Anolis sagrei: one gene and its partner. The protein of the gene in region 1 interacts with the protein of each later gene in a pairwise test. Links are inferred from orthologs where the notes say so. Each region holds a gene or a part of one and is shown on either strand. Other genes may lie near its edges.

What was found.
Region 2: the proteins of DISC1 (region 1) and CRNKL1 interact in a two-hybrid assay, tested with the Homo sapiens proteins (2 studies listed by IntAct). The link is inferred for Anolis sagrei from reciprocal best matches to the Homo sapiens genes DISC1 and CRNKL1.

Annotation. Positions count from the first base shown.
Region 1 is NC_090021.1:60,761,708-60,768,645, reverse strand, and holds the start of DISC1 (disrupted in schizophrenia 1 protein), read left to right. Parts: upstream 1-3,916; 5' UTR 3,917-3,989; coding exon 3,990-4,041; intron 4,042-6,938. UniProt on the Homo sapiens protein: Involved in the regulation of multiple aspects of embryonic and adult neurogenesis. Required for neural progenitor proliferation in the ventrical/subventrical zone during embryonic brain development and in the adult dentate gyrus of the hippocampus.
Region 2 is NC_090024.1:139,014,228-139,021,437, forward strand, and holds the start of CRNKL1 (crooked neck-like protein 1), read right to left. Parts: upstream 3,017-7,210; 5' UTR 2,962-3,016; coding exon 2,914-2,961; intron 2,478-2,913; coding exon 2,325-2,477; intron 1,541-2,324; coding exon 1,449-1,540; intron 1,341-1,448; coding exon 1,182-1,340; intron 1,032-1,181; coding exon 865-1,031; intron 1-864. Other genes in the region: CFAP61 (cilia- and flagella-associated protein 61), read left to right, coding at 5,253-5,407, 5,503-5,653. UniProt on the Homo sapiens protein: Involved in pre-mRNA splicing process. As a component of the minor spliceosome, involved in the splicing of U12-type introns in pre-mRNAs.

The DNA of each region.
Region 1 (6,938 bases):
ATGCAAATGTAAGTGGATTAATAGGTACCGCTTCTGTGGGAAGGTAATGGTGCTCCATGCAGTCATGCCGGCCACATGACCTTGAAGGTGTCTACAGAAAACATCGGCTCTTCGACTTAGAAGTAAAGATGAGCACCACCCCCCAGAGTCAGACACGACTAGACTTAACCTTCACCTTAAGAAGTCAAAATGCAAGTTGCATATTTGGATCGATATCTTTTTTCTGACTTTAGGAAACATGGACTATTTTTATTGCAACTGGTGGTCCACATACCACAGGTTAGGAACCACTGCCCTAGACGGTCAGGTCCATGCTATTTGGCTGACCACATCTCCTTGTACGAATCTGCTCGGGCACTGAGATCTTCAGGAGAGGCTCTTCTCTCGGTCCCACCTTCATCTCAAGCTCAGTTGGTGGGAACAAGAGAGAGGGCCTTCCTTCCCCTCGACTCTGGACCTCTCTACCCAGGGAAGCCAGAATGGCCCCTTGCCTGCTGTCCTTCCGGTGGCAAGCTAAAACCTTTTTATTCCTGCAGGCTTTTAAAGATAAAAGTCTTTAAGATCTAGTAAGGGGATGCTGTGGTTTTTTTGATGTTTTTAACTATGAATTTTTTTAGTGGCATATGTGTTTAATTCTACTTTAATGCTCACATTTTTTTATATTTTAAATTGTATACTAATGCTTTTATGTCAAGCCACTTTGCATCCCCTTTGGGGAGATAAAGAGGGGAATAATAATAATAGCTTCTGATAGAGAAGATGTTGTTGTTCCTGATGGCATGCTTGTCTTTAAAAGAGTTGGGACAAGTTCTATGATGTCATGACATTCAGGCATCACTGAGTGTTTTCTTTTTGTTCATTAATTTTTGAGAGGCAACCACTGCATTTAATTTCAGTTACAATAACTATGCATTCTACATTACAAACAATACAATAAACAAATAACAAAAAGGCAATACTTGCAAAGCAAGAGAGAGAGAGAGAGAGAGAGAGAGGCAACCACTCAGTTACAATAACTATGCTTTCTACATGTATAGACTATGTAGGATTATGACTGTATTAAACAGACACAATGCTGATGTCACCTAGCATTTTAGGACTATTAACCGTTTAGTAAGATAAAGCCATTATGGCTCCAGAATGGATGAAATAAGGTGAAGCTTAAAGTATTATTGGAAAATGCAGTATGTGTTGAGGTTTTTAAGTAACTGTCTTCAAATCAACTCCCATCTTATGACAATTATGCTATATTGTTTTCTTTGCAAGATTTGCCTTAGTGCTCATGATGGAAAGAGTTCAACTTGTCCAAGTGTGCCTGTATTTTTCCATGGGTAAGGGGTCCCCTGGAGATCTAGCTTGAGAGTTGAACCACTTCATGACAGTGGCTCTTTTGGAATCGATATTATTGTTGTTAACTGCCATCAAACCCCATGAACGATGAACCTCCAAGTTACCCTGCTCAGATCTTGCAGACTCAGAGTCATGGCTTCCTTGATTGAGCCCACCCATCTGGAATTGTAGTCCTCCTCTTTTCCTGCTGCCTTCTACCTCACCAAGCACAATTGCCTTTTCTAGTGAGTCATGTCTTCTCAAAATATGGCCAACATCTCGGTTTAGCCATGTTGGCTTCTAGGGAGAGTTCAGACTTGATTTGCTCTAGGACCCATTTATTGCTTTTTATAGCAATCCACAGTATCCAAACTCTTCTCAAGCACCACATTTCAAATGAGTAGAATATCTTCCTATCAGATTTCTTTACTATCCAGCTTTTGCAACATACATAGAAATGGTTTTCACAGGTCTGATAGCATTCCCTGAAGTCAATGAGTCAGATTAAGGACTTGGTTTTTTTCTTCTTCTAAGAAGTCAATTTGAACATATTTACTTCTCTTCCAAATAACAATCCTCTCCTTCTGTAAAGACAGAAGTGCCCTTTGGGTGCTTTGAGAACTCATTGATACATGCATGTTTTCCCACTTGAGTCTCCAAACAATAGAGAATCAAGTGATGTACGTGTGTGAGAGAACTTCCGGTTAAGCCTGTTATAGTGAATACAAGGCAGCCTAAGAGGAAAACAGTCTTGATTGTTTTGCCAAGCATAAAACTCTGTTACATACTCTCAGTATAAAGACTTAATTCCTAGGGAGTAGCACTTAATAATAAGTGTGGTTGAGCATGTCCCCAGAAATTTCCCATAACGCTAATTATAACCATCATTGTACAATGGGGATTAAAATCTTGCAGGATCCAGGAATCCTGGTGACATAAAAACTTGCTGCATCCACAAAGAAAATTGCACTCCTTATACAGAATGGTTTTGCATAATAGTCATATCTAGCTGACATCAGCTAAGCAGAGTCGTGCTTGTAGGTCTGTTGTGCATATGGTATAAGAGTGATCACTTGTGGCCAGGCATGTAGCTGGGGGGGGGGGGGGCTTGAGGGGCTTCAGCCCCCCCCCCCCCGAAATTCTCATGGTGGTTCGCGAAAAGGCCTTACTGGTGCATTATTTAAACTGTTGTTTATTCATATCATGATCTGATCACCATTCTCAATATATCCCATATGCATGGGGGTATTGGGGTAATGATACAAAAGGTTTGCTAGGTTAGACCCTCTTTCACTCAGACTCAGCCCCCCCCCGAAACTCAGCCCCCCCGAACCCCCCCCCCCAAAAATCACCCTCCCCCCGAAACGAAATCCTGGCTACGGGCCTGCTTGTGGCCGAGTATTACTGTCTCCCATAAATGATGGTGAAGACCTATTCTTCATCCACGTGGTGTTTCACGTTGACATAGATTTCCAGATGGAAGGCAGTCACAACAGAGATTTGTGTGGTGGCACATTTCTGTGTTTTTGCCTGCCACTTTTGGATTCTTCCTTGCTGGGGTGTTCCTGCGAGTATCTTTGTAGATCTTAGGAAGCTGTTTCTTGATTTAAGACGTTGGCATGCTTGCTGATATCTGGACAGAACATGGGCCGGAAATGTCAATGCCTTGGTCCTTTCATTAATGGCCACTACTTCCCGATGGATGCAGGGAAACACTATAATTTCTGCAGTGGTGTATGGTGTAGACACCCTGTAATAATGCGGCATGTCTCATTAAGAGCCACACCCACTGTTTTAGCATGGCGAGATGAGTTCCACATTGGGCATAGATATTCAGCAGCATAGCAAAGCGCAAGGGCAGATGTCTTCACTGTCTAGTTGTGATCCCCAGGTTGTGCCAGATACCAGGTGCTGCACACAATATTTGTAAGTAACGGACTGGGGAAAACCTTCTGAGTATTCCTTCATTGTCTCTGTAAGTTAGCAGGTGACTTGAAGGCACATAAAGAGAGACCGTCTGAGTAAGAATCTGAAGTAAGAATCCCCTGTTACTAGAGCGCAGCCTGTTCAGTGCCTCCAGCCCTTCCACACTTGTGTGTGCCCAGGAGGGAGTTTCTCATTCATTGTAACAGAATTGATGCAGCTTGGCATCACTTTGTACTTCATCACACTAGAGAATGAATTTGGTTGCTGCCTCCTCTTGCAGAATTCTGGGGTTTGTAGTTTAGTGATGCTGTTAAAGGCTCCTCCCTAAATTACAAAACCCAGAATTCTGCAAGAGGCAGCAACCAGATTTAAAGTGGATTCATTCTCTAGTGCGATGAGGTCCTTTAGCTGGCCAAATGCTATGGCATCCTGGGCGATGCAATTTGGCGCAAGGCCCCAGCGCTCTTTGACCGCGATGGCTGAAGAAAGACCCTGTGAAAGTGAACTGCCAACATTCCAACAGCCCTGAGCCATGCCGGTTCAAGCGGGGCCGAAGCGCATTAATTCTCTAGTGCGGATACAAGGGAGGGAAGCGCCTGGGAGGCCCGAGGGAGGGAGGGATGGAGAGAAGAGGCGTCCCTCCCGCCTCTTTCCCAAGCCAAACGGGGCGGCCTTTGGGTCCTTCCGACGGTCTGGGGGCGGGGAAGGAGGGGAGGGGAAGCAGCCACCCGAGGATGTGGAGCAGCGGCGACCCCTCGGCTTCGGGCGGCACGGAGCGAGACCCCGGTGAGGAGTGGGGGCTTCTCGGGAGGGAGCAGAAGCGGGTGGGAGTGGCGATGGCCAACAGGCAGCAAACAAAGGAGTTTCCCCGGGACGGCCGCGCGCCGCCTCTCCTTTGCCCGGGGAAGCACGAGCCCTTCTGGTAGGGGTTTCGCCGCCACCCCGGGAAGCCTCCTTCCTCTCGCGCGCCCCCTCCTGGCCGGGAGCGGGAATAGGCATCTCCACTCCCAACATTTTCAACTCACTGCTATGAACTCATGGGAGTCGTGGTTTGATGAAGCGCTCTGTGGCCAAGAAGGCTCAAGGCCTTGTAAAACTATAACGTCGGCATCCCAGAGCAGTTCAACTGCTGTTGAACTGCATTAATTCTACAGCGTAGACACACCCAAGGGCCCAGAAGATGTCCCATAGAGGTCCCTGCTGTCACAACAGGCATGGGCAAACTTGGGCCCTCCCTCCAGGGCTTTTGGACTTCCACCATTCCTAACAGCCTCAGGTCCTTTCCTGTTAGGATTGGTGGGAGTTGAAGTCCAAAAGGCCCAAGTTTGCCCATGCATAATTCAACATTGTGATATAATGCAGTTTGAAATTGCATTATATGGTCAGTATAATTCATATGGTGCAATTTTACTACATTATGTGAGGCTGGATCTTCACTGGAATTTGACAGCATTGGACTAGATTCTACACTGCCCTAAAATCCAGATCAATGCAGTTAAATTGCATTATATGGCAGCATACATCTAGCCAGTATCTACACTGACCATATACTGCAGTTTTAATTGTATTTACAGACTATATCTGTATATCTATACTCTTCTAGGCTAAAAATGTTGATAAAGGCTATCCAGGCTTGTGTTGCTGTGATAGATATTCATCGGTCATGGAATAACTTCAATCTGGGGGCACATTCATGCTATGCAATTATAGCACTATGATTCCACTTTATTGCCATGGCAACATCCCATGGAATCCTGAGATTTCTAATTTAGCTCAGATAGTCCCTGAGTTACAAACATCCAACTTACAAAAGACTCATAGTTAAGAATAGGGGTGTGACCACAGGAAGTGAGAGAAACCTACCCTTTGGAAGGGAAATTCACTCCTGGAAGAGTTATCATGGGGGAAAGGGGTCTCCACTGAAGCTTTATCACCAATCCTTGGTTCCACAACAAGCCAAAATGTTCACAGTTCAGTTATCACAGGGACAGAATGTGAGGTGAAATCTTCTGAATGGGTACAGACAGCAAAACTAACAACACAGAGTGTTCACCCTTCCCTATGCCATCCAGAGCTAACACGTATATATATTTGTTTTGTTGAAGACTTTCATGGCTGGAACCACTGGGTTGCTGTGATTTTTCCGAGGTGTATGGCCATGTTCCAGAAGCATTCTATCTTGAATGACATGAAAACAAGACATGAAACAATCAGGATCAGCTAACACCTCCCAACAAAGCATTCCCCCAGGCAGGAAGCAGCCTGGCTTTGAAGCAGCAAGTCCATTCAGTGCTAACAAACGTGGTCTATTGCAATATTCACACTTGCCTCAAACAGACAAGAGTTCTTTCTCCCACCCTGGACATTCCACAGATGTATAAACCTCACTTGCCTATTTCCAACAGATCTCACAACCTCTGAGGATGCCATGCCATAGATGTGGACAAAACATCAGGAGACAATGCTTATGGAACATAGACATACAGCCAGGAAACCTCAGAGCAACCCATATATATTTTTGGTTGGAGCTACACTTACAAATGTACCTGTTTTGATTTACATGCAAATTCAACTTAAGAACAAATCTACAGAACCCATGTTGTTTGCAACTTGGGAAGTGTCTGTATTGGTCTACATTCAGCTGCTAGTCCCAGTTTGAGCAGAAATAATGCAAACACTCTATGGCTCCCTTCCATCCCACATTATCTGTTTTGAACTGGGCTCAGGGGCGGCCCGTCCACTACGCAAAGTAAGCGGTCACAGAACACTTTTTTTTGCCAGGGGCACAGAGGCACCTCTGTAAATGCCCCTCGACTGCCACTTGAAGAGTGCCCCCTCAGCTCACAACAGCCCTAGCAGTCCGGGGGGAGCCTCGGCTTTCTTGCCTCGCTGCTGGGCGATCCTCTTCCCAAAGGGGCTGGGCCCTTGAACCTCGCCTAGCCCCTCTCGTTCCTGCTCCACCTGGCCACCGGGTGCACGAGCAGAGCCAGCGCTCAATCATTCTCCGCACTCGATCCCTTCCCCATGACCGGCTCCCTTTCCCGATCCCCCGGCGCTTCACCTGCCTCCTCTCCTCTCCCCAATCCACGGGTGGTCCAAGGGGCGGAGCCGTCGCGCCTGGCCCGCTTCGGGTCCGGAGGCGTGTCTGAAGACCCCAGCGTGCGCACCAAAAGTCACCTCTTCTCCTGACTTTCTCTTCAGCCATTGGGACCAAGAGAGAGAGAGAGAGAGCCCCTCCAGCTGGAGGTATCTCCTACCTCCGCTCCCTCCTTTGTTTTTGTGCCTACCTTCAGGAAAGGTGGGCATCTCCACCTCTCTCTCTCTCTCTCTCTCTTTCTCTCTCTCGGTCCCAATGGCTGAGGAGAAAGTCAGGAGAAGAGGTGACTTTTGGTGCACACGCCGGGGTCTTCAGGCACGCCTCCGGACCCAAAGCGGGCCAGGCAAGGGAGCAAGTGCGGCAAGTGTAGTTACTGGGATGTATAGCTCACCTACAATCAAAGAGCATTCTGAACTCCACCAATGATGGAATTGAACCAAATATGGCACACAGAACTCCCACGACAAACAGAAAATATATATCAATGGTTGGGGGGGGGGGCACCAAAATACTGTTTGCTTACCATTGAAAATTACCTAGGGCCGCCTCTGACTGGGCTATATGGCAGTGTGGACTCAGATATTCC
Region 2 (7,210 bases), on another chromosome or scaffold:
TGAATTATGAAAAACAATACTGTACTGTTTGTTGGTTTTTAAGAAAGCAAGGAAGGGAAGTCAAGGAGACACAGCTCATATTTTTCTCCTTAATAGCTAATTTTCTGTTTGATATCAAAAAAACCAAAACAAAGGTAAACCAATAAGAGACAAATTGGAAGAAAGTTACAGAATATCTAAAAGAAAAGAAATATAAGATGTTAATATAGAAATTAAAAATCAACCTCAAATGAATGAAGGGGAGATGGAATGATGAAGGAAGAAAAAAAGAGAGAAAAAGTAAGGAAGAAGGAAAAGGAGGACACCTCACAGAAGATACTCTGGAAGTCAAGAAGATACATTTCTCTTTTTCATTTTTTTGTTATTTTTAATTTAAGGTATATTTCACTAGTTTTTTTTCCTCTTGTCTCTTCTATCTCCACCTTTTTCTTGTCTTTTCTTTACTTTTCTGATATTTTAAATCATGTTATAGAAAGATTTCAATAAAGATATATTTTAAAATAGCTAATTTTCTGTCTCCTACACTATCAAATAGGCAGATTTTATTATACTATGTAATCCAGTTTGGAAAAAAATCTATTTCTCATTGAGATTCTTATCAGATAATCATTGAAAAACTACAAATAAATTATTATTATTATTATTACTACTACTACTACTACTACTATAGAAAAATATGTTGCAGGATGTCCCACAAAAACAAAGTTTTTGCTGTTTAACAAACCTTTTCCATGTTTTTATGATAGAACCAATTAGGAAATAACATTTATAATTCAGGAACAAAAATCATGTTATATAGTGTTATTGGAAGAAAAAATATGAACAAATCATGAAGTTGACACTGGAATACACTGAAAAGGATATATCTTTCATAAATAGCCCGTGCTCTGTCCACCTCCTTGTATCTAAGCTCAAAGTTAATGAAGGAATGCCAAGCTTGTTCCTCTGGCTGCCACTCCATCCAGCGTTCAAACACCTGGCGGGTCCCAGCAATGTTTCCCAACATCTCTTCCATGTAAGTATATTTGTACCTATGCAAGTAAAAGCAACATAAGAAAGGGCAGTTCTGTCATCTAATTAATGAAGTGATTTTACACAAAAATACAGCAAAAATACATTTTCACAGGAATATTTATTTCAGTTTACTACTGTTTGAAAAGCACCAAACATGCTTAGCTTACCAGAACTGATTGACTCTTGGTAAAGTTGTGATGGCACGGTCCCAAATATTTCGAGAATGATTGACTTGGCGGTTCTTCATTTCCATCTCCGCATACTTTAGCCAAAGGGTGACATTTCGGTAGTCCACATCTAGAGCACGCTCGTAGATGGAACGAGCCCTGACAGCAAAACAGGGTTGAAATTAATGCATTTGAAATTCCAATCTTAAGGTAATGACCACTATTGGTTATTTATGCAGCAAATGATGCCCAAAGGGAAATAGTTACCTTTGTATTTCTTTGAGGCTTTCCTCCCATTGTGCGTACTTGATCCAGTTGCTAATAACTGTCCGATTTTTTCTTATGTTATCTTCAAAAGTCTATAGAAAAAGCATGGGGCAAATTTCTAAAATTATTTTTAGAGCAACAATAACTCTACTTCACTACACAATATGTCAACACAGACTATGTTTAGTGCTTTTCTATTCCCCATAGAGAAGTATTCAAACAAGTATTAAGCAGAATAAACAAAAACAGAATACCTCTAAGGACATGATTCAGATTAATAATTTTCAGAATCAGAAACGAGGTCAACAGTCCTTTCCTGCAGTGAAGTGCCAAGCTCATGATAGCCTTACGATAATATTCATGAGCAGCTACAAGGATGCTATTTAAGATGATGATGATGATAATGATAATAATAATAATAACAACAACTTTATTTTTATGCCCCGCCTCCATCTCCCTTAAAGAACTTGGGGCGGCTTGCACATGGGACAAAATGTCCACAGAACATCAAAACAAAACAATCCATTAAAACAAAAACCACAATTAAAATAAAACATAGCAAAGCATAACAATAAACTAAAACACAATTAAATAAAACATAAGGGTATAAAACAGCAGCATTAAAACTCACTCAAACAATACACAACAAAAACCAATAACCAAAATTCTAAGATGGGCATGATCAGGGTATAAAGAAGACCGGACCTAGGATAGTGCAAAACTTCAAGATTTCACTTTCTTTACATCCAATCATATTCTCCAGGAGCTTTGCTTTACAGGTTAATGTGTATTTTAAATAATGTGTATTTTAAGTAACTGTGATATAAGCTTAAATAAATGCTATCACAACACCAGTAGATCATAATATTTACTTACTTTTCTTTTGCGAAGTTTATAATCATTTAGTTCTTCTTCATCTGTGATCTTCTGTTGAGGGGGTGGGGGGAGTAGCTCAAGCTCTCTCTCCTTTGCTTCTCTTAAGAGCTGCTCTGCTGTGATCTGTACTTCTGCAGGGGCTTTGTTCTTTACCTGTGGAGGTATGGGATCAGCAAAAGTTAACAAATCATATGGAAATATTGAAATTTAGCCCATATTTACATTACAACACATGCACAAAACCACATATATACACATATTCACAAATATATACACACACAAAACACATATACACAGATTGGGCCACAGCAACGCGTGGAAGGGGACGGTTAGTTACTATTAAAACAATAGTTCTTTTCATTTTGGATGCAACCTTAGTAGCTGGCCCTGCTCAACCGAGTGCTGCGAAAAGGCCCCTCTCTCCCAGAAGAGCGCGGCCTCCCACTTTCCCTGCCACTTTCCCCCCCTCGACTATCCCCCTCAGCCCAAGCTGACTCCTTTTCTGTTCCGAAGTCAAGTCCCGAGGGGACTGAACCCCGAAGAGAAGCACACAGAAATAAGTGACCCTGCCATTGCTTCGCGCCCTCACCTTGGCTACTTTGGGGATCCGCTGCTTCCCGGCCGCCGTAGACGCCATTTTCGCAGCGCTTCCGACGAAGTCTCTACTAAGCTCCGCCTCCGCTTCCCATCATTCCGCGCGGCCGGCAAGCTCGACCTCTCCGTCGCCTTGGCAACGGGCACGCGCCGCGGTCCTGATTCAGAGCTCGAAGCCCAGCAGCACATTGAGAGGCCTCCCTTGCTGAAAGGTGAGTCCTGCGGGATGCTTTGAAGTGGGTTATCTCAGCCCACACTCAAGGCTCTTCCACACAGCCCTATATCCCAGAATATCAAGGCACAAAACCCCACTTTATCTAAGTGTGGACTCAGATAACGCAGTTCAAAGCAGATATTGCGGGATTTTCTGCCTTGATATTCTGGGATATAGGGCTGTGTGGAAGGGCCCCTAGAATCCCTGCCCATTGAACAAGATGGTTAGGCCTTGTATTGTCGAAAGCTTTCATGGCCGGAATCACTGGGTTGTTGTAGGTTTTTTCGGGCTATATGGCCATGTTCTAGAGGCATTTTCTCCTGACGTTTCTCCTGCATCTATGGCAAGCATCCTCAGAGGTAGTGAGGTCTGTTGGAACTAGGAAAATGGGTTTACATATCTGTGGAATGACCAGGATGGGACAAAGGACTCTTGTCTGCAGGGCCGTAGCCAGAAAAAAATTTCAGGAGGGGTTGAAATTTTCAGGGGGGGGTTTGAAATTTTCGGCCGTGGGGAGGGTTGAAACCTGCCTCCTAGCTCACGCTGAAGCAAAGAGCACAGCAGAGGGCAGAGCAGCCTTCAATAGCCTGCAGCTCCGCCCCTGTCAACCACCTCCACCAAGTCTGGCCTCCTTAATGAGAGCATTCAACATGCACACCCCCAACTTGGTTGCTTCACTACATCAGCTATTGCTGCAAGTAATGACAGTGTGAATAAATTGTCAATATTTGCTTGAGATAGTGCTTGCAGTTCTGGAGGGACTCTTAATTTTTTGCATCTCATAGACAGCATGGGGATTTGGTTAACCAGTTAAAATTCATGAGTAACCCAGGTTTTTTAAAAAAATCTGAAACATTTCGGGGGGGGGGGGGTTGAACCCCTAAAACCACCCCCTCGCTTCAGGCCTGCTTGTCTGTTGGAGCCAGGTGTGAATGTTTCAACTGACCACCTTGATTAGCATTTGTTGGCCTGACTGTTGTTTGAAAATCCAACAAATGCTATGTTCAGCAAAGGACAAGAGGGATCCTCTCACTTCTGCAGAAGTCTACCATGTACCATGCAGGTGTGGACAAGTCAACATAGGGACCACCAAACACAGCGCCCAAACACAGATCAAGGAACATGAAAGGCACTGCAGACTACTTCAACCAGAGAAATCAGCCATAGCAGAGCACCTGATGAACCAACCTGGACACAGCATATTGTTTGAGAACACAGAAATGCTGGACCACTCTCACAACCACCATGTCAGACTACACAGAGAAGCCATTGAAATCCACAAGCATGTGGACAATTTCAACAGAAAGGAGGAAACCATGAAAATGAACAAAATCTGGCTACCAGTATTAAAAAACCTCAAAAATTAAAACAGCAAAACAACAGAGAGGAAGCAATCTGGGACATCTAATCACCTCTCAACAAAAGATTGCCCCAGGCACTGCCAGGCCATCAAATGCTAATCAAGGTGGTAAGTTGAAACAATCACACCTAGCTCCAGCAGAAAAGAGTCCTTTGTCCCACTCTGGTCATTCCACAGATATATAAACCCTTTTTGCTAGTTCCATCAGACCTCACTACCTCTGAGGATGCTTGCCATAGATGCAGGCAAAACATCAGGAGAGAATGCCTCTAGAACATGGCCCACTGCACACTTCTGTCATGCAAGTATGTGTACAACTGAACTGCACAACTAGTTCAACAGCTAACCCTAAATTCCTGTCATAGAGGAATCTAGGGATTGAAGAAAGTGACATTCCTTACAAAACTGCAATGTCCGTGATAGCTGATAACATATCAACTGTTTTTGTATGGTTGGAAAAACTGGAAACCAATTGTAGAAAGTCATTAATGTCCCATGCATATTTATTAGAAACCTGAAGTGTAAGCATAAATCACACATTGCCTGATCTAATAAGTTGGGTTCATTTTGTAATAGTAAAAGAAGTTATGTGAAAGTGCATATAATTTTAGCCAATCAGTTTTATACATAGGACCATACTGCAAAAATTGGTGTCATTTTAAATTACTTCTACATTTTTGTCATTATTTTCAGTTTTGTCCTGGGCTATAACTCATTTGTCTGAAGAAGCATTTTTCCTCTTTGTGTTGCAGTTTAGAATATGACTTCATTATTACGTCTAACATCATCGTCTATTCAATCTACTGTCACACTCAGTGCCAGAAGAACAGAATCCCATGATATTCCTAATATTGTTGGTCACATGAAATATGATACAGAAAGACTTTTTGGCAGAGTCAATGTTATTTATCTTTTGTAAGTAACACAATGGTAACTATTTATCCTAATTAAAAATCCTGTAATTTATTTTTACTTGTTCCATCAATGAAATCTAAACATTTGTTTTACAGAGAAAAAGCCAACCTTGCAGTGACTGTGATTAATGAGAAGAATATACCTGTTGCTCATGCTGCATTTGTGGACTACCCCAATTGGGATTTTGTTGATGAGGCTCACTGGGAATCATACTTAGAAGAAAATTATGATAATGTTAGGTGTACGGTATGTAGGGAGCATTTTTCTTGAATGATGTAATCTTAATATTTTTCATTATTATGTATTTGTGTTGAGAAATTAGTTCAAGTCCAGCTTATAACATTTAATAGTCTTATCCAAGTGGCTAAATGTAGGAAAGTCTTTTATTTCCATTTAATGTCATTGCTGTTGCCTTGCACAATGCATTCTTGAATGCTGTTACTGTCAGGGGATGGAATATTGCTTGTGTTTAGTAATCTGACTTTAAGGCAAGTAGAAATGAACGCTCTTAGCTTTAGGCCAAAAAAAATTCTGCAAAGCTTTTATGAGAATATTGCTTTCACACCACATTTTACGACAAACTCATCAAAACTAGTGATGTGCAACCTCAAATCTCATGGTTAAGAATTCTGAAGTCCCCATGGGAAAATCACAGAAGAATAAAAGGGTGAAAAATAATCACAAAAATAATGGAAATAATAATAATAATAATAATATTAAAGGGCCCTTCCTTCCTTCTATTCTTCCTCCCTTCCTCCCCTGCCTCCCCAAACCCAAGGCCTGAAGGCAAATATTTTATGAATACATTTTTGGGAATATTTTTATGATTATTTCAGCAAACATTTTAATGAATATTTCTGCAAATATTTTTAGGATTTTTTTTCTGAAAATATATTTGTGAGTATTTTGATTATTTCTGAGAATATTTTTCCCAAATATTTCAGCATATATTTTTCTGAACATATTTTGTGAATATTTTTTGTGAATAATTCCTGGGAATATTTTTATGATTATTTTTTGAAATAATTTGTTGAACATTTTGTGAATATTTCTGCAAATATGTTACGAATTCTATAACTCTTTTTGTGGCTATGTTAATGAATATTTCTGACAATATTTTTGTGATTATTTCAGTGAATATTTCTGACAATATTTTGTATATATTTTATGATCATTTCTGTGAATATTTTTGTGAATATTTCTGCATCCTTTTGTGATTATTTCAATGAATATTTGTGCAAATATTTAAATCAATATTTTTGAAATAATTTCTTGAATAGTTTTTAAATATTTCTGCAAATATTTTGTTTAATGTATAGTTATATGCTATTGTTTTAGTTAGCATGCTTTGGTTTTGTATATATGTTGGCACTGAATCCTGCCTTTCCTTTGAGTCTCCCCAGGGGTGAGAAAAGCAGTATATAAATGCAATAAATAAGTAAGTAAATAAATAAATAAATAAATAAAGAGAACTCTCTTGGTGCACTGGGTGGTTTCCAATTCTACATCTTTAAAAAGTACCCAAACTGTCAGAGACAAGGTTCGTCCCATTGCAAGAAGGAGCAGTTCAACATAGCATGGGCTTCCTGTTGTTTATTTGTTTAACATGATGTCCAAACATGGCACTCTTTCTCTTGACGAGTCAGAGCAAGAGTTTCTTCTTATCTTATTTCTTTAATGTTCTAGAGAAAATATAGGTCAATGTGCTGATTTTAGACTTCAGAAATATTGTTGCAGTTTGTTGTTGCAATATATTCACTTTTTTCAACAGTTGAGTAACACCTTTAAATGTAATGAAAAAAG